Linked DNA regions of Drosophila melanogaster. The protein of the gene in region 2 interacts with the protein of the main gene of each other region in a pairwise test. Each region holds a gene or a part of one and is shown on either strand. Other genes may lie near its edges.

Region 1 (3,098 bases), about 22 Mb from region 2:
GATATCGAACTTATAAAACTTGCTGATGATATCTAAAGCGTATCTGATAGTCTATTATCAACTGCATATTTTATTAAGCTTAGTTTGATTAGATAGACGCGCAGGGTATAAACATATCATACATTTTTAAAAAAATATTTAAAATAATATTGTTATATCTATAACTCTCAAGAATTAACTTTTTTATGTTGACTCTGTTAGTTTTAATCATAACTTCATCAATACCCTATCAATATAAAAATATCTAATGCAATCAAAAATATAAGCTGATGGTTTTAAAATTGCACATATTATTTAAACAAAATATTTGAGATTTTTTTTTTATTTTTGTAAAGATTTTGCAGTATTTTTTATAGGTATTAAATATGGCTAACACATCTAATTGAAACACATTAGAATGTCATTAATGAAGACGCTATCTCCTTGACTCAATTTTATCCGGATAAAACAAATCCGAAATTGTTTCAGCTGCCGTTGATGAAAATAGATGATCAATAGATGAAAATAAAAAAAAAAATTTTTTTTAATATTTGTGTGTATTTGTAGGAGGCAATTGTAAAACTATAACAGTAATGGGTTGAGAAACGTAAAATGACAGTTCTTAGTGGTGGTAGGCAACAGCGGGGGCGGCGTAGGAGGTGTAGGTAGCAGGAGCGGCGTAGTGGGCAACTGGAGCCACGGTCTTGACCACGGCGGGAGCAGCGTAGTGGGCAACCGGAGCCACGGTCTTGACCACAGCGGGAGCAGCGTAATGGGCGACAGCAGGGGCGGCGTAGTGGGCAACGGGAGCGGCGACGGTCTTCACAACGGGGGCAACGGCGACGGCCTTGACCAGGGGCTCACGGTTGACAACGGCGTTGAATCCGTTGATGGGATCGGCGGTGTACTGGACGGTTCTCTTGTAGCCATCGGCGTCGATCAGGGAGTACTCTCCGCGGACCACGTCGCCATCGCGCTCCTCCACCTGGCTCTTGGAGTCTCCGGAGAGGGAGTCCTGAACATCGTAGGCGTACTTGTACTGGGGATGGGGATCGTACTCCTCGGCGGCCTTGGCAAGAACCGGCTGGGCGTGAGCAACGGCGACAGGTGCTTGGGCGTAGGTGGCCACGGCGGGGGCGGCGTGGTACACCTGCTGGACGGGCAGAACACCGGCGCTGGCGGCGGCGATCAGGGCGAAGAGGGCGATGAACTGAAAGAGGGAAAGCAGTTAGGATGTGGGTCTTTGGCGGGGCTAAGTCCTCGGGGCGAACCTTGAATGCCATTTTGATTTGGATTGATTTGGCTGCTGCTGCTGCTGCTGTTGGTTGTTGGAAGGCAAAATGAACTGTGAGGGCTACTGGGCCAACACTTGGCTTATATACCGAGATGGAGCTATTTCTTCAGCTGCTGCTACCATTGAATGGCCGAACTCGCTTTTGCCGGCGGGCCACGCTCTTGGCGTAATTAGTGCAATTCATTTATGCTAAACGTGTGTGGAGAGGGAAAAGTGAAGCTTGAAGGCGTGCTCAATCTTTGTATCTCTGTGTTTTGTCATCAAATAACTTCAATTTATCCGAGAGAAACGGAGAGCGTGCGCTGTGACATCACTGCTTACTAAATCCAGTTAGCTTACAAGACAGTTAATATTGTGGCAAAAAGGTCGCTTAAAAAGATATTAACTCAAAACATCTAAATTATCGTAGCTTTATTAAATTAAAATTATTATTTTTTATCACCCACCTTTGGTTTCCAAAATTTGAAGATAGTTCACAGGCGAACAGCTTTTTAACATGCTTAAAACTTTTTTTTGTAACATATTTGTAATATTTTATGTAGGTTAATAAAATTATACAACTTTGTAGGAAATGTGTTTTAAATACATAATAATCAAATTATGATCCCAACATAAAATATTCATTATACCTCACCAAGACAAACCTATGGATACAAACTCAAAACGTATTTAATAATTTGACTAGCAAATATTTAAACAAATAAGATCAGAACTTTTATTCCCTTTTTATAAAAAATGGGTTCAATTATACACACTTACTTTGTTGTACTTTCCAAAAGAAAAACAACAAAATTGAATAAGAAGACTCCAAGTTTAAGGAAAATAGTAATTAAAATTGGCTTGGCGTAATCAATTAAGTGCAGCTGGTTATTTCGACCGATCGAAATTGGCAGAACTGAAGAAGGTGCGTGACAATTTTTACATGCCACCGGCGCCGCTCGAGGTGATGCGCCAAAAATGAATTCCAATTAGGTGTCATCAATGTCACCAAGTAGCGTATAAAATAAACGGCCCACAATGGGTCAGACATTCAGTGTTTGGCTTCGGCTCAAGACAGCAGTTAATCAAATTCATCCAACTACAATGGCAGCAAAGGTTTGTGCTACCAATTGGAGGATAAACGTTCCGGGGGACTACTAGTGGATTACCAGACTGCCTTCGCCTTTTTATCTTGGAAAAAAAAATCCTAAAAAGAGTGTAATTTATTCCGCAGATTGTTATCGCTTTGGCTCTGTTCGCCGTGGCCCATGGCGCCGTCCTTAGAACTGCTGCTCCAGTGGCAGTGGCTTCTGCTCCGGTGCCAGTTTTGGCCAAGACCGTTGAGTTGGAGGAGGTTGATCCGCATCCTCAGTACACCTACAGCTACGACGTGCAGGACACGCTTTCCGGCGACAACAAGGGGCATGTGGAGGAGCGCGATGGTGACGTGGTCCGCGGCGAGTACTCCCTGATCGACGCCGATGGCTTTAAGCGCACCGTGACCTATACCGCCGATTCCATTAACGGATTCAACGCCGTCGTCCGCCGTGAACCCCTTGCCGCTGTTGTGGCCGCCGAGCCGTTGCTGAAGGTTGCTGCCCCATTGGTCAAGGCCGCTCCAGTCGCCCCCATCGCCCCTGTCGCCTTGGCCGCACCAGCTCCCATTGTGCGCTCCGCTCCAGTGGCCGTCGCTGCTCCTCTGATCAAGTCCGCTCCCCTAGCAGTTGCCGCTCCGTTCGTCCGCTCCGCCCCTCTGGCGGTGGCTGCTCCCGCTCCCGTTCTGCGTACCGCTGCCTATGCCACGCCTCTGCGGTACACCGCCCCTGCGTACACCGTCGCCCAATTG
Region 2 (7,110 bases):
AAATATTTCTTGTTCTTACGGCTTCCGTGTTGTCGATGAATGAGTCCGACTCATCGTAGCCCATTCCAATGTCCCGGTAGTCGTCCTTTTTGCTCTTCCCCCTGCCTGTGGCATAGGAGTTGCCATACTTGGCCTCCAGCTCCTTGACGATCCGTGCCACATCGTCATCGTTGTCGGCAAAGGGATCAGTGCTTGCGGAGCCATTGGTAGTGCTCACCTGCTTCAGCTTTTTGGTCTTTTTCTACGGATTGCAAGGGTTTAGAAAGCGATCCTCCAACTGAGTTATACACTCTTACCTTTTCCAAATACAAAAGCCGGGAGTAGTTAAACTCGGGATACTTGTTCGAATCGGTCTCGAACAGATCGAGTTTGATGCGGATGCACTTGGCAGTCTTTGTCGTGGGTTTGGAGCTGTTGTCGGGTGCAGCGGACGCAGCATCAGGCTCCAGGATGTTGCTGCCGAAGCGCGAGAAGCCCGCATCGCCCTGGATGATCGAGGTGAGGGTGACGCGCTTGTGCTCGCCCCCCTTTGACATTTCCGGCGGGCAGAGTTACGGATATTCAGTGGGATAGGGTTTCCTTTGAGCCGAAAGGGCCTTCCCGCCCTTTTTTTTCGAAAGAGCCGCGTGTTCTTCGTTGCTCTTTCCCTCTCTCTCTCTCGCAGCCAAACAAAAACAACAGAGACGTCGCTGCTGCTGATGCTCCTCCTCCTCCTTTTCCGCTGCTTCCTCTTCTTCTGGGGATGTCTGTTTTAGGTTTTCTGCACGTACACCAAGCAACCACAACCACTTAATAACCGTGGCAATTTCACTCTGAGCTGCACTTTCTTGTTGTCGCCCCACAAACACTGCTTTATCAACATAAACAAATGGCGAGGACCTGCGCCGGATTGCACTACTTTAATCGCCGCCCGCTTTGCAGCTGCATCCGCCGACCACGGCCACGAATAATTGTCACTTTTCTGGGGGAATGAAAAAGTGGAAACTTTTTGGGGGGTTTCAAATTGGTTGGCTTGCCGGCACGAAAACAACACAGTCTGTAAAAGCAGCGCACCGGGGATTAAACACACGCAATCGACGCTACCAAAGGGGACATTTAAACGATTCGACCAGGCGCTTTTCGCACGGCCAGGAGCGCGATTCTTAAATTGTTTCTTGTTAAAATCCTCAACGCTACATTCTCTCCGCTCCACCCCGCACCAAAGATCCGACCCTGCTTTTGGCTTTCGCACTCGCGTTGCGCAGCACTGGTCGCGGTTTTCGCAAATTACTCCGAGCCGTTCACACTGCGCGCAGCACAAGCCGAGACTTGCTGCGGCTGGCTGCATTTGGCAATATTTAGTTGTTATGGGTGCTATGTATTTCCAAAATTCCGTTAGTTAGAAATTCATTAGCTTGGCATCTAGCTCATTTTTAAAGTAAAGTTTCGAGCTACCAAGTTGATAGGTTACGTAAAATATATAGGTGGCTTATGCTGTTGTAAGCTTAATTGTTTAAAAAGGACCCAAAATCAAAATATAATGTAAACTTTTTTATAACTTACGCGGCTCTAAAACTTTCCAACAAGTAACGAGATCTGGCTTGAAAGCGGCCAACACTCGCACTAGCTTTTGTGCATCCCTGTGCAGTGCCACATTCCACACACATTTCTGCTTTGTTTTGACCAGAACGGGCCGTTGTGCAGCACTGTTCGGCACAGCTGTTCAGAGTATGGGGCCGCGGGTGGTGGGCAGATTTTCTTGGGGCGATTCAGTATTATTTCGATTGTGAAGGAGTTTACTTCGTAGAAAGTCAAGTGCTCGCCGTTTAATTAGCGCAAGTGCAAGTGAGTCGCAGTACGTGAGCTTGGGGGCTTAATTTCATGCGCCCGCTCCACAACAAAAACAAGCGAAACGAAAAGAGTTGCATGCACAGAAATTCGAATTCGGTCGAAACTGCAAGGTGTTATTATAACGGGAATGGCCAGTGCTCGTTATCGGGTGAAAACGATTAGGATTGTGCAATTAACAAAAGTGTGCCGTGCTGCTCTTTTCACAATCCAATCCAACCCAATCCCCAACTCCCCCACCCCCAATCCCCAAGTGGCACCACACAAACACTAGCACATAAACACTTATGCTGCCTTTATGCTTGCAGCCCCACTCGAGCTCTTTTATGTATGTATGTACATATTTATCCAACGAATGCAAGTGACCGACGTCCAAAGAGCAACGTACGGGATACGGAGCTCCGACAAAGGCTTCCCGCTTTCAGTGGTCCGGTGACTTTCGCCGGAGTAGTGACTCCGTCCCAGGAAACCAGCTAAACAAAAAGCCCCCAGCCGCTCGTAAAAAAGTGTCATGAGACAATAAAGGAACTTTAAGAAAGAAAGGAAAAGCGACGAGAAGAGTGGAGCTCCTTTGTTACATCTCTGGAAGAATCGTTCGGCTCCGAAGCAAAGGTGAGTAATACTGCTTCATTACGAAATTACGGGGCCTTGTACATTTGTAGTTCCAAAAAACAACAAGGGGAAATCGTTCATATGGGAAACAAGAGACTACCATTATAAGATAAGATCAGAACTGCGACTGCTTTCTTTTATCTCAAGTGACGTAGTCCAAGGTGAACACAGTAAACACTCGATGCAAGGACAACTTAGGTTTAAACCAGTTTTCTACACTACAAATTATGCAAATGGGTTAGATATCAAAACGAACACCCGTTTTCTTATCATGTCTACAAGTTTCTTTGCAAGAAAAAAAGGTTAGCTACTGAGAGTGTTGCCCGTAGCACTGCTTGAATGATAAACTCTACTCCCAGACATTGAAATTCCTACACCAAAATGGAGTTACGGCAATCGACCTTGAAACATGTGGCCCCAAATGCCTTGCCAACCCAAATTGGTTTCCCATTTTCTATGAAAACTTGTGTGTTTTTTTGGTAATTCATCTATTAAAGGCGGCAGCCAGTTTTTCATCTCAAATGGACAGAAGCCGCACACAAAAATAAAGCGATACACATAAACAATCAAACAACAGCAACAAGTGAGCGCACAAATTTAATTTGCTTTTTAATGCGTCATTATTGCCGATTTGCGACATGCTCGAGCTGCTTTACTGCTACCTCTTCGCAGATTTTCGCATCCCCAAGAGGTTCGTACAGTTGCGATCGCTATCGTTATCAGGGGAGCTCTTAAACCGAATGAGCGATACTTTATTTATTTCTGCTCTCTATTTGCTTTCATGATTAATTAAATGAGTCTGCTGTAGGAGAATGTATTAGCAATAATTATGGATAATTCACCAGCCCATCCAAAGCCATTCTTAAAGTTCATTTATCCAGTAGAAAACTTTGTTACAGAGCTAGGTTCATTGATCATTAAAAGGTTAAACAGTCTTATTCATAAACATAGGAAGAAATATTATTTAATTGTGGTTCAATCCAAAAGGGATCGTTGGCCGCCTGTCGTTGATATAATCAAACCGCACTTTGTCGCCGACAATTTCATTTACTCATCGTACTTTCCCCAACCAAACTAACAAATAAACTAGAACAAAAAGAGCCGCTGGTGGTTGGCTTCACCGCCAACACGACCACCCACTACAGATTCGGTTTTCCATTTTTAAAACAATGACGCATGCACGGAAATAAATTACATGATATACGCCTGACAATCTCATTACCTAGAGACGACGACCCATCGATAGTGGCTCTATGTATATACATACATAAAACACTCGGTTCTTCTTGGACTCTTTCAGTAGAGAGCGATGACGGAAAGCGTGGAGCTGATGAACAAGTACGGCGAGCCACTGCGCTACGACCGGAACTTCACGGGACCGAGGCAGAGGGATCGCAGCTGCACGGATGTGCCCTGCCTGCTGTTATTCGTCCTCTTCCTGGGCGGATGGGCCTTCATAGCCCAATACGCCATCAGGAACGGCGATCTCAACAAACTGCTGGTGCCCACGGACTCCTTTAACCGAAAGTGTGGCATGGACTCCGGAGTGCTGAACAAGAAAAACCTATTCTTTTTCGACTTGAATCAGTGCATCGATCCACTTGTACCCATCACTGGATGTGACACTCCACAGGTGAGATACCATTAACATCAAATTTGCAAGGAGTTGATCTTACTTTTAATGAAATACGTATTTCAACAGGTTTGTGTGGAGACTTGTCCCCGAGAGACGTTCGTCTGGGACACTATGAAGGACAAACAAAGTTTTGCGGAGCTGCATAGTCGCCTCATCTGCTTGTCGGAGGAGCACAAGGCGCAGATTCGCACCAAATCGGACATTCAGGATGCCATTAACCAGAACCAGTGCGCACGCTGGTACATCAAGAGTGCTCCATTCCTCAAACGATGCCTCTTCGAGTTCTCGCAGGGCGTGTGTGATTATATTCCCTCGTTTCTGCTAAATGGGGGAAGGTCGAGGCGGGAGCTGCATATGTTGCCCGGAAACGCCACCACAGAAGTTCAAATGCAGGCCGATGTCATGTACCAGAAAATGACGGATGCCCAGGCTCTCGTTGTTCCACAGGCGAATGGCAAACAGACTCCAGTGGACGAGGAACCGATCATCCAGTGCAAGCGCAGACTCAACGAGGCTGTCATCAAGGAGAAGATGATGCAGACCGATACGAGGCTGGCCAAGCTCGTTGGTAACATGGTGGCCCACTTCTACAATGGCACAAACGACGCCCAGCTTTTGGGAGAAAAGATTGTCGAGGATCTTGTCAACTCCTGGTCGATCGTTTTGGTGGCTTGCTTCTGCACCCTGGTAGCCTCACTGATCTACATCGCTCTAATGCGCTGGCTCTCGGCTCCGATTCTCTGGTTCTCCATCTTCGGCGTGCTTATCGGCTTGCTGGTGGGTATTTACTTCTCCGTAAAGCAGTACATCCACTGGGAGAATACGCCTACGGTTCCCGTACACGGCTTGAATCTACACTCCACGGTCAAGAATGTCCTGCAAAACCAGAACACCTGGCTCTACCTGTCCATCTTCGTAGGCGTGTGCTTCGTGGTTATCCTGTTGCTGGTAATTGTGCTAAGAAAGCGCATCCGGATAGCGATCGCCCTAACCAAGGAGGGCAGCAAGGCGGTGAGCAGCGTGATCAGCACCGTGTTCTTTCCCATCTTCTCCTGGATACTCTTCATTGCCGCCATAGCGTTTGCCATTGGCGTGGGCCTGTATCTGGGCTCAATTGGCGATCCTTCGTTTAGAATGGTGCGACAGCTGACGAAAAGTGGCGAAGTGACCACCGAGGACTGCGTCTGCGAAGGTCCAGCCATCAACTACACAGTGGGCGGATCCTGCAAGCCAGAAGTGTTCCAGCAATATTGTAGCGTTCGGCTGACCTCATTTTTCCAGAACCGAAACCCTTGCTTGAACACCACCTGCAGCTTTGACTCGATTAACAATCCAATCGAGATTAAGTGGGCCATCTTCTACAACGTCTTTGGCTTCCTCTGGCTGAGCTTCTTCATCTCCGCCTTCAGCTACATGGTGCTGGCCTCGACCTTCGCCCGATGGTACTGGACCTTCAAAAAGAGGGATGTGCCCTACTTCACCCTTACAAGGGCATTCTTTCAAACTGCTGTCTACCATCTGGGCACCGTGGCCTTTGGTTCGCTCATCCTGGCCATCGTCCGGCTGATCCGTCTGGTGCTGGAGTACATCCACGAGAAGCTGAAGAAGTACGACAATGCGGTGACACGAGCCATCCTCTGCTGCATGCGCTGCTTCTTCTGGTTGCTGGAGACCTTCCTGAAGTTCCTCAATCGGAATGCCTACATCATGTGCGCCATTCATGGCAAGAACTTCTGCTCCAGTGCCGCGGACTCGTTTAATCTGATTATGAGGAACTTCCTGCGTGTGGTGACGCTGGATCAGGTCACGGACTTTTTGTTCTTTTTGTCGAAACTGCTGCTAACCGCAGGGGCGGGGGCGTCCACCTACTACTTCCTGGACAATAATCCGAGCATTATTCGGCTAAATTACATAGCAGTGCCCACCACGGTGGTGGTAATTGCCGCCTTTCTCATAACGAGCGTGTTTTTCGGTGTGTACTCGACGGCAGTGGACACACTGTTTCTGTGCTTCCTGGAGGACTGCGAGCGCAACGACGGCTCACCGGAGAAGCCGTTCTTCATGTCCAAGCAGCTAATGAAGATTCTTGGCAAGAAGAACAATCTGCCGCCGCGTCAGCGCCGCGGAAAGTAGGAGACAGCAGTGCAAATTATAACTTTATTGAAGTAAAACATATATATATATATTTATTATAGCCCAAAACGAAACGATCGGGGTTGTGAGCGATTGCTCAACCGGCTGCAATTGGGTTTGCATTAAATGCACGCTCCTTTGCCAATACTCTTAATCTTTAATCTAGTGTATATAATACGCCAGTATCCGTATCCATATGTAAAGTTTTTTGTGCGGCTAGACATGTGATAGGCGCGGACCATAAAGACCAAAAGTAATACCATACAATAACATGTATACAGAGACACAAAAGTACATATCTCACATTCATGAAGTTTAAGTTAACGATAATTATTATAATTTTCGAATTTAATAAAAATGAATTCATTGAAGACACACTTTTCAGTTTTGTTCTTATTTTATTTCTCCATCATTATATTCACTCATTTTTTTTTATTTTTATACAATTTGTTTCATACTTTTGCCGTTCATTCATCTAGAACGCTCAACCCACTCATTTCAGAAAGTCTGATTTTGCAAGGATGTAACAGATCGCTGAAGCCGCAATGAAGAACAATAGCTATAAGATATGACTTTTAAAAGTATATATATAATAAACCTTAATACTGCCTCAAAGGTTGTTTATTTCAATAATAATCTTAAGTCCTGAAACTCGAATTTCGAAAAGCCTGGTATACTTATAGATGTATTTAAAAGAAGAAAATTGCTTTCAAGCTGAAAGATTTTAGTTTTAATTTCATATGGGTAATATTAAAAACTAAAGTAAAAAGTATATTTCGTTTAAAAACCTCATAACCAATTAGAAAAAGAATACAAAATCTATTACCTAAACAATATTGGCCATTCGCGATTCCCGTGGACTAAAAGATAATATCCTTGAGCACGCTATCGCTGATGTTCTG
Region 3 (7,783 bases), on a different chromosome or scaffold from region 2:
GCAATCTTACTGCACAACAGGCACAACAGCAGCAGAATCTCAACCAGCAACAGCAGCAGCAGCAGCAACAACAGCAGCAGCAGCAACAGCAGCAGAAGGAGCAGCAAAACGAGCAGCAGCAACAGGCCCTAATCACCCAACAACTGAGGGGCAGACCGAACAACCTGGTGGATCCATATGGCTATAATCAGTACGGCAGACGCTTCAAGAAGTCCCCAAAGAAATAACGACAAATTAATGTCATTTAAATGATTGATTAGTTTGAAGATGTAGTCGCAACTCAAAGGCATGAAATACATGCATCTGAAAAGTCAAGCAGTTTGTTTCAATTTCCGCAGCTTACGCGGCGCAAAATGATAAGCAAATATTTTATAATAATCATTTATTTCGATAGTTGCACACACACATTGTCAGAGTGGAAGAGGGAGGTAAGCTTATATAAATAAATTAATTGTTTTAGCGAAAGAACATTGAGGGCAGCCTGCACGGAAATGACGTTTCTTCGATTTGAGAGATTTGATTGGCGTTTTGGAATAAATTCTGATTTTAGTAGCTATAGCCCGTCTGAGGATTGAACTCTCCGTTTCCACGACCTCCGCCCGGCGCTCCCGGAGCAGGTGGAATGTACTGTGATCCTGTGCCGGGAACTCCTCCCGATCCTGGTCTGCCTGGCGAGCCGGGTGCTCCGCCACCAGCCGCTGGTGGAACATACTGATTGCCGGGCAATCCTGGTCCGCCTGGACGTCCACCGGCGCCTCCTAGATAAAAAATGGAAACAATCGCGATTAGAGTGGCATTAAATTTATGTAAACCCTCTTTGATTAGTTGTAATTATTTAAAGCAGTCTTTAAAATTATTATAATCTAGCGACTTCAAAGAGACCGCGTGCAAGCCGAAATGTTTTATGCATGAAAGATCGTTAGTCGATCGTGGGTAAAACAATAGACCAAGGCTTTGCCAAACAAGAATTGTCAAAATAAAAAAACTGAAATGTGTGGGAATAGCACTTGTCTAGTGTAGCTCTTCACATCATTTTCTCATGAAGATGAATGAGGCTAATTCAAGTTTTACAATTGCAATCACACAGATTGTAAAACCGGGTTTATAACTATAATGCTTCTTACCCGGTCCACCGGCACCTCCTCCATAACCTGGACCGCCTGGAGATCCTACATTAAAAAATGTAAATACCATCTATATGTTGTGACAAATTGGGAGAGTGACCTCTTCATCACAAAAACCAATGTTACTCACCGGGTCCACCGGGTGCTCCTCCAGCTCCACCGCGACCACCGCCGGCGCCAAAGCCACCACCACCTCCTAAAAAATAAATATTACTTTAATTATTATAATATTTATAACACAGTTTAACAAGTAGTCGGAAACTTGAAGAATTTCGTAAGTTTTGTGGAATGCACAGTGTACTGTTACTAAGTTACTAACCTTGGCCTCCGAATCCTCCTCCTCCGGGAGAGCCTGCGAAACACGAATGGTATGTTTTTAAAGCCACTAGGCAGATATTAAAATCGACTTACCAGGAGCTCCAGGAGCACCACCACGACCGGCGCCGCCTCCGTATCCGCCACCCCCACCTACAAGATGAAGATGTTTTACTTAAGACCTGCAACTGGAATATTGTTTTGCTAACTAACCTTGACCGCCAAATCCTCCTCCACCAGGCGATCCTATTAATTAATAATTCCTTATTTTCAGTAACAAACAATTTATGTTTTGTACTCACCTGGAGCTCCTGGGGCACCTCCACGACCACCACCTCCTCCGAATCCGCCACCACCTCCTACAAGATGAATGTATTATTCGAGGTGAATGTGCAGTAAGTTTTAAAATCCCTTACCTTGACCTCCGAATCCGCCACCACCTGGGGATCCTGGTGCTCCTGGCGCACCTGGTGCTCCACCACCACCGCGACCGCCGCCGCCTCCATAGCCGCCGCCAGCACCTCCCTGGCCACCATATCCGCCTCCGCCTGGTGATCCTGAAAATAAGCAATGTGTTATCTATTATATAAAGTGAATGAAATCATGAACTCACCGGGAGCGCCAGGAGCACCGCCGCGTCCGCCGCCACCTCCGAATCCTCCGCCTCCACCTGGAAAGTGTATATAGTTTTAACTTGAACCGCAAAGTCAGGCGGGATCACTTACCTTGACCTCCGAAACCTCCACCGCCAGGTGATCCTTTAGTTGAAGTAAGTTATTAGTTTTGAGTATCTATGGAGTAACACTTTTCGTTAACTTACCGGGAGCTCCTGGTGCTCCGCCACCGCCGCGTCCTCCGCCGCCGCCACCACCATAACCGCCGCCAGCACCTCCTTGACCACCAAATCCGCCGCCGCCAGGTGATCCTGAAATATATGAAAATAAATATAAATTCATGAAGTGAATTAAGACGGATTTTCTTTAGGAACAATAAATTTCATCTAGAAAAAGGACTTACCAGGACCTCCTGGGGAACCACCACGACCAGCTCCGCCACCAGCTCCTCCATAGCCTCCTCCACCTCCTAAAAAATAAATAGTATTTTAGATCCATGTGTAAGCCGTTGGAACATAACTTACCTTGACCTCCGAATCCGCCTCCACCTGGCGCACCTAAAGAAGCAAACGAATCGATAAAGTATTAAATTAATCTAATAGGGGTTAACATTTTTAAAAATTGTATAAATAAATCAGTCGTTACCTGGACCTCCTGGTGCTCCTCCACGACCACTGCCGCCTCCTAAAAATAATCAAAGTTAAAGTCAAAAAAGACTAAAAAAAGAAAAAGGGTCAAAATGTGACTTGAATTCGTATCTTACCTGATCCATATCCACCGCCACCTCCTGCTCCACCTCCGCCTCCACCGGATCCTCCTCCTGCGCCGCCGCCTCCAAATCCGGATCCGCCTCCATATCCCGAACCACCGCCTCCGCCGCCACCTGCTCCTGCAATCAAAAGTGAGCAATGAAATGGAATGTTAATCCATTGATTTATTTTGTAGAAACTTACCCTGTCCTCCAGGACCGCCACTGTATCCACCACCCGGCAGTATGGAGATGCCCTGGGCAGCCAGAGATTTGGCTATCGCTTCCGGAATGGGCGGTGGAGTGGGCAGGGCGTTGCCCGAGGGCACAAAGCCATTCTCATCCGCCGTGTACATGATCTCGACGAGTTCACCTTCGGGATTTGTGTAGGAGTATGAGCCCATCACGGATGGGATTTCATTCTCAGATCCCTTGTTCTTAACGGTGCCCTCCTCCTGGGCCTTTATACCATTTCCAGTCTCGTAGCTGAAACGGTAGTTGCCATCGCCGTCGTTCTCGTTGACAAATGAGAGGATCGGAATGGGAGGTCCAGAAGTTGGTGGCGCGCCACCTGACGGACTGGGGCGTGGAGCGGGTGCTCCGCCGCCTCCGCCGCCGCCGCCAGGTGCAATGGGTCTTCCGTTTGCGAAGCCACCAAGTCCGTTATTACCACCACCAAAGCCACCAGCACCGCCACCGCCTGGTCCTCCACCGAAGCCGCCAGCTGGTCCGCCACCGCCGCCTCCTCCATAACCTCCACCCGCTCCGCCGCCACCGAATCCTCCACCTCCGCCGAAGCCACCTCCTGGGCCCTGAAGCCCTGCTCCCGGACTGCCGCCCGCACTGGCCGCACTTGCAGGTGGGGGCAGGTATTTGTTATCCAGCTTGGCTGCTTGGGCAACCACCAGCGTCGTGATCACCAGAGCCTGAAAAAGATCGTTGCAGGTAGGGATTGCCCGGTAAGTTCACAAATTTATGCAAGCACATGGAAAGTTCATGCGAATCCAGCATCTTCCATCGCGATCCACGTTCTCAATTTGGCCTGAAGCGAATCTTTGGCGTGTTGACTTATTTGATTGCAAAATAAATGCCAGTGAAAAATCGCAGGGGTGGCTAATTGTTTAAAATTTAACTTCATTAACTGCGGCTAATTCATAAATCTGAAGATAACATGAAAAAAGGCTGCTAAATGTAATGAAATAGTCATTTAACGACCGCCATAAAAAGTGTTATTCGAATAAACTTTTGTTGCTTGAGCACAAGGACGTATTTAAACTTAAAATAATGTTAAGCGTCTGAAAATTATTATTTTCGAATTATTCGTATTAAGAAATACTTTTAAACGATTTTTAATGTCTTACTAACATTATGTCATTTTTTACAACTGTACTTTACTCATGATAGCATTTTGGTAATTATTTGTAATAAATGTGTATTTTAAGTTAAACAGCAATGGTTCGTTCCAAAAATAAACGATAAGCTTTTTCCAAACTTCAAATTACAAGAAGAACCTTGAATTGTTTCTGCTGTTAATTAAGCCCTGATACACATCTCGGCCAAGTGGGTATCATGACCCCGCCGCTGGGAACCTCCAAAGGGGTCAAGAGTGTGGCCAAATGTCGGCCATTTCATCAATGAAGCATTTGTCCATTGACAGAACGACGCAATCCGATCCGCTCACGTTTTCCATTGTTGCAACCGATCGTCGTCGCCCATTAAGGCTGCAAGTGCAGCGGGGACTCTTGACTATAGTATCAACATCGGGCTGGCTCATCATTGTCTCAGCCTGAGGCGAACTATGATATTTATGGACTTCTTGTTAGACAGAAGACGTCTGAAGATGCAGCAGCGTGTGAACCGAGAGTGCCACAGAGAATTGCTGGCTGGGAAGGTTGGCTAAGCGGAGCGGACCAGCGAGTGTCAAGTTGAAGTTTAAACCGTTTACGAATTCCATTGGGCCATAAACCTAACAGCTCCATCGATTGGCACGATGATGAGCTCACTTGTCGCCACAGCCGGGCAGTGTAATAATGTAATATTGTGGAAATTCTGACATTTGCCACACTGACTCATCCGGCGACTGTGGCACATGCAACCGAAACAAGCAACGCCTGCCCCTTGGGCCGGAATATCTTGAGGAGTCTGTGAGAGCCTCTTGGAGTTCGTGACCACCTAGCAGACATCTTCGACAGCGTTTCGCAACCGCAAATATAATTGCGGTTATTGCAAATGGGCTGCCAATTGGGTCGCCACTGCTTCCATTTCGATGATCTGCTTTGGAGGCGGGGCGGATCGGCCACGACCAAACCATCTTGGGCAACTTTGCGTGCCATCCACCATCTCCGATTGCAAATGGGCTGTTAATTTATGCGTTTCACGGGGATTACTCGATCTTTTCAAGACAATCGGATATGCTAAGTGCAATGGGGAAACCCTTGGCTGTGCTAAAATATCCAAGATGGGACACTCCAGTGGCCTATTGTTTAGGCATGTTCTTTTTCGCGGAATTTTATGAGTTGCCAAGTTGAGATTAAATAATTAACTAAATCAAAGTTTCCTGAAAAGTTATAAACTCTTGATGAATAAGAATATTCCTATGCCAATTTAATACAGATTTCTGATGAGACAATTCCCTAGACTAAAATAATTGAATGTCTTTATTCTAAGGTAAAATTCGTAACTTTACTTTCATTTAAATTAAATTGGGTAATGAAATCAATTTAATTAAATTTGAAGCATTAAGATCTTTGCATTCGAATGTAAAATGTAAAAATGTAATGAATGTAAAAAATCCGAAAAGAATAAAAACGGAAAATATGAATATAAATATGAATATTATATTCAAACATTGAAATATATTTTTGAATCTAGGTCATTATCTCAAGAAGGATACTTTTCGGGAAAAATTAGTAAAGCTCTACAATAATTTCTAACCACAACAGCATATGGAGTTTCAAAGGACTCTTCATTAGAACACTTGGATCTTTTGAATTTTCTAACCCAAAGTTACTTTCCTCTTTCACTGAACTTACCCACTTAAGAGCCATGACAGCAATCTTTTGATTGTTTCGATCGAGGATTAAGAAGAAGAATCCTTGGCGCACCCACAATTTATCCACTGCTTAATTTATCCACAAAGCTGGGTTAATCCACGTAAGTCCTTTGCCGCACCAGCGATGCAGTGCCTCCGCGTGTCGTGTTGTGGCTCCTCGAATGTCACGGTACTTGTGTGCCGATCGCAGCCCAAGTTCTCCAGCTTTTATACTTGGTTTGGCGCCAAATGCAATCAAATGGAATGGAATGAACGAAAACTGCAGCCGGAGCTTGCCGCTTGCAGCTTGGAGCTCGGTGCTGAGCGAGTGCTGAGATTTTGATACTTTATGGCATTTATTGCAATCGTGTGCAGCTGTGGTGGTGATGGTGGTGGTGCTAGCTGAGGCTCCGTCCCCAGCTGGGGCAGAAAACAATCGCACGAAAAAGGGAGGAGGAGGTGGTGGTGCCCCCGCATCCTCATCCGCAAGCCCATGCATTTTGACTATTGTCTCAACGGCGGCATCTCGTTTACTCAATGTACCTTGTCTTGTTAAACAAACGCTCTCAGCCACATCTCTCCTCGGTTAGTGGGTAAAAATTAGCAAGCAAGCAACTGCTGCTGGTGGTGCTCGTAAATTGGAATCCAATCGAAACGCTCAACGCTCGAGCGCATCATCATCATTCAGCTTCATCTCCATTGAATTGCACGTTTGGGAAACCGTTTTAATGCGCTCGGTGTCAAGAATCGCATATTGAGAAGTCTGCCCAGGCGGATGTCAATAAATCTGACACCCAACACAATCCGCCACATTTTCAGCTCTTTCACAGGGCGTCCAGGTCCAGTCTGTGACCTTTCACCTAATGATTGGGTAAAAACTGAAAACTGGATTCGAAGCGGTAATAAATACCACTAATATCGACACCCTCCGGCCGAAAGACTAAGCATTGCGCAAAACAAGTTGCTCCACTTGGTGGCAACATCCAAACCCCAACCCATCCACATCGATCTGCCCCAAGCCCCTTCTCCTTTTTTTTCGCTAACTTTTCAGAAAGGGCAGTTGCTTCTTTTCGCTGAATTTGGGAAAACAAACTCACTGCATGTCGCGGCGGCCAAGTTTAGCGTAAATGCTTGACATCTTTTGGCAACAAGGAGAATGCTCATTGACATTTGCCAGCCTGCATGCATAGCTATGATATACTACATTGGCTGTTTGGAAAGGCAAAAATCTAGCAGGTTGTCAGTGGGCCTTATTCTGCTTGGGATGGTCACAGCTGTGCGGACCAGAACGCCAGTCAAGTGGCAAACGGAATGTGCACGCACTGCCGCAAGTAATAGCGGAAAGATTGAAACAAAGAACTCCGCATGCATCTGGCCACGTTGCGTATGCGCAACATGCATCACTCATACGCCGAATGGCCTTGCCAAATTAACACACAAATGAGCAGAGCGGCCACGCCCACTCCCAGCCCATTGCACAAACATTGAAATTTAATAATAATCCGCACGCCAGAGGGTGGCAATTGGCAATTAAGATGACTCAACTCGGATGCAGATGCACTGCAGCCATAGAATGTTTGCCGCGCTTTGGGTTTTTCTACTCAATCGGTTCCTGAACGAGCGGATTATTTATAGCGTAATTATGATTACTCAATCGTAGAAATAAAATACAAAACGTTTATTCAAGCCTCGGGTGTTGGGGGGTAGACAATTATGAGATACGTTGGGTCCACAATGCTTACTCGCCAGTCATCATCTCCATGAATTCTGGAAATTAAATACAAAATAATATTAATTATTATTATTGTTGATAACTAAAATATGGTTTGTGTACTAATACAAGTGGAAATTGGACCAAAACCTCATAATACAAATTTGTTTCTTTTTAAACTGGTACACCAATCGGAACAATTATAAAAGGCGGAAAATATGGACGGATTTTGTTTTAGGA

Evidence for each region. The genes of interacting proteins can lie anywhere in the genome.
Region 1: the proteins of Ctl2 (region 2) and Ccp84Ad interact in a two-hybrid assay, tested with the Drosophila melanogaster proteins (one large-scale study listed by BioGRID).
Region 3: the proteins of Ctl2 (region 2) and Cpr47Ef interact in a two-hybrid assay, tested with the Drosophila melanogaster proteins (one large-scale study listed by BioGRID).

The regions. Positions count from the first base shown.
Region 1 is NT_033777.3:6,690,962-6,694,059, reverse strand, and holds Ccp84Ad (Ccp84Ad), read right to left. Parts: upstream 1,329-3,098; 5' UTR 1,263-1,328; coding exon 1,251-1,262; intron 1,190-1,250; coding exon 602-1,189; 3' UTR 533-601; downstream 1-532. Other genes in the region: Ccp84Ae, read left to right, coding at 2,357-2,368, 2,487-3,098.
Region 2 is NT_033777.3:29,121,666-29,128,775, forward strand, and holds Ctl2 (choline transporter-like 2), read left to right. Parts: upstream 1-1,704; 5' UTR 1,705-1,824; exon of another isoform or gene 1,825-2,135; 5' UTR 2,136-2,439; intron 2,440-3,739; exon of another isoform or gene 3,740-3,742; 5' UTR 3,743-3,748; coding exon 3,749-4,072; intron 4,073-4,141; coding exon 4,142-6,208; 3' UTR 6,209-6,582; downstream 6,583-7,110. Other genes in the region: yem (yemanuclein), read right to left, coding at 20-241, 297-536; dgt6 (dim gamma-tubulin 6), read right to left, coding at 7,069-7,110.
Region 3 is NT_033778.4:11,266,544-11,274,326, forward strand, and holds Cpr47Ef (cuticular protein 47Ef), read right to left. Parts: upstream 6,033-7,783; 5' UTR 5,849-6,032; coding exon 5,834-5,848; intron 3,728-5,833; coding exon 3,007-3,727; intron 2,943-3,006; coding exon 2,817-2,942; intron 2,738-2,816; coding exon 2,699-2,737; intron 2,611-2,698; coding exon 2,578-2,610; intron 2,523-2,577; coding exon 2,457-2,522; intron 2,365-2,456; coding exon 2,260-2,364; intron 2,198-2,259; coding exon 2,165-2,197; intron 2,110-2,164; coding exon 2,053-2,109; intron 1,997-2,052; coding exon 1,856-1,996; intron 1,799-1,855; coding exon 1,742-1,798; intron 1,686-1,741; coding exon 1,653-1,685; intron 1,593-1,652; coding exon 1,536-1,592; intron 1,477-1,535; coding exon 1,444-1,476; intron 1,321-1,443; coding exon 1,255-1,320; intron 1,170-1,254; coding exon 1,125-1,169; intron 759-1,124; coding exon 547-758; 3' UTR 372-546; downstream 1-371. Other genes in the region: Cpr47Ee (cuticular protein 47Ee), read left to right, coding at 1-227; TpnC47D (troponin C at 47D), read right to left, coding at 7,571-7,599.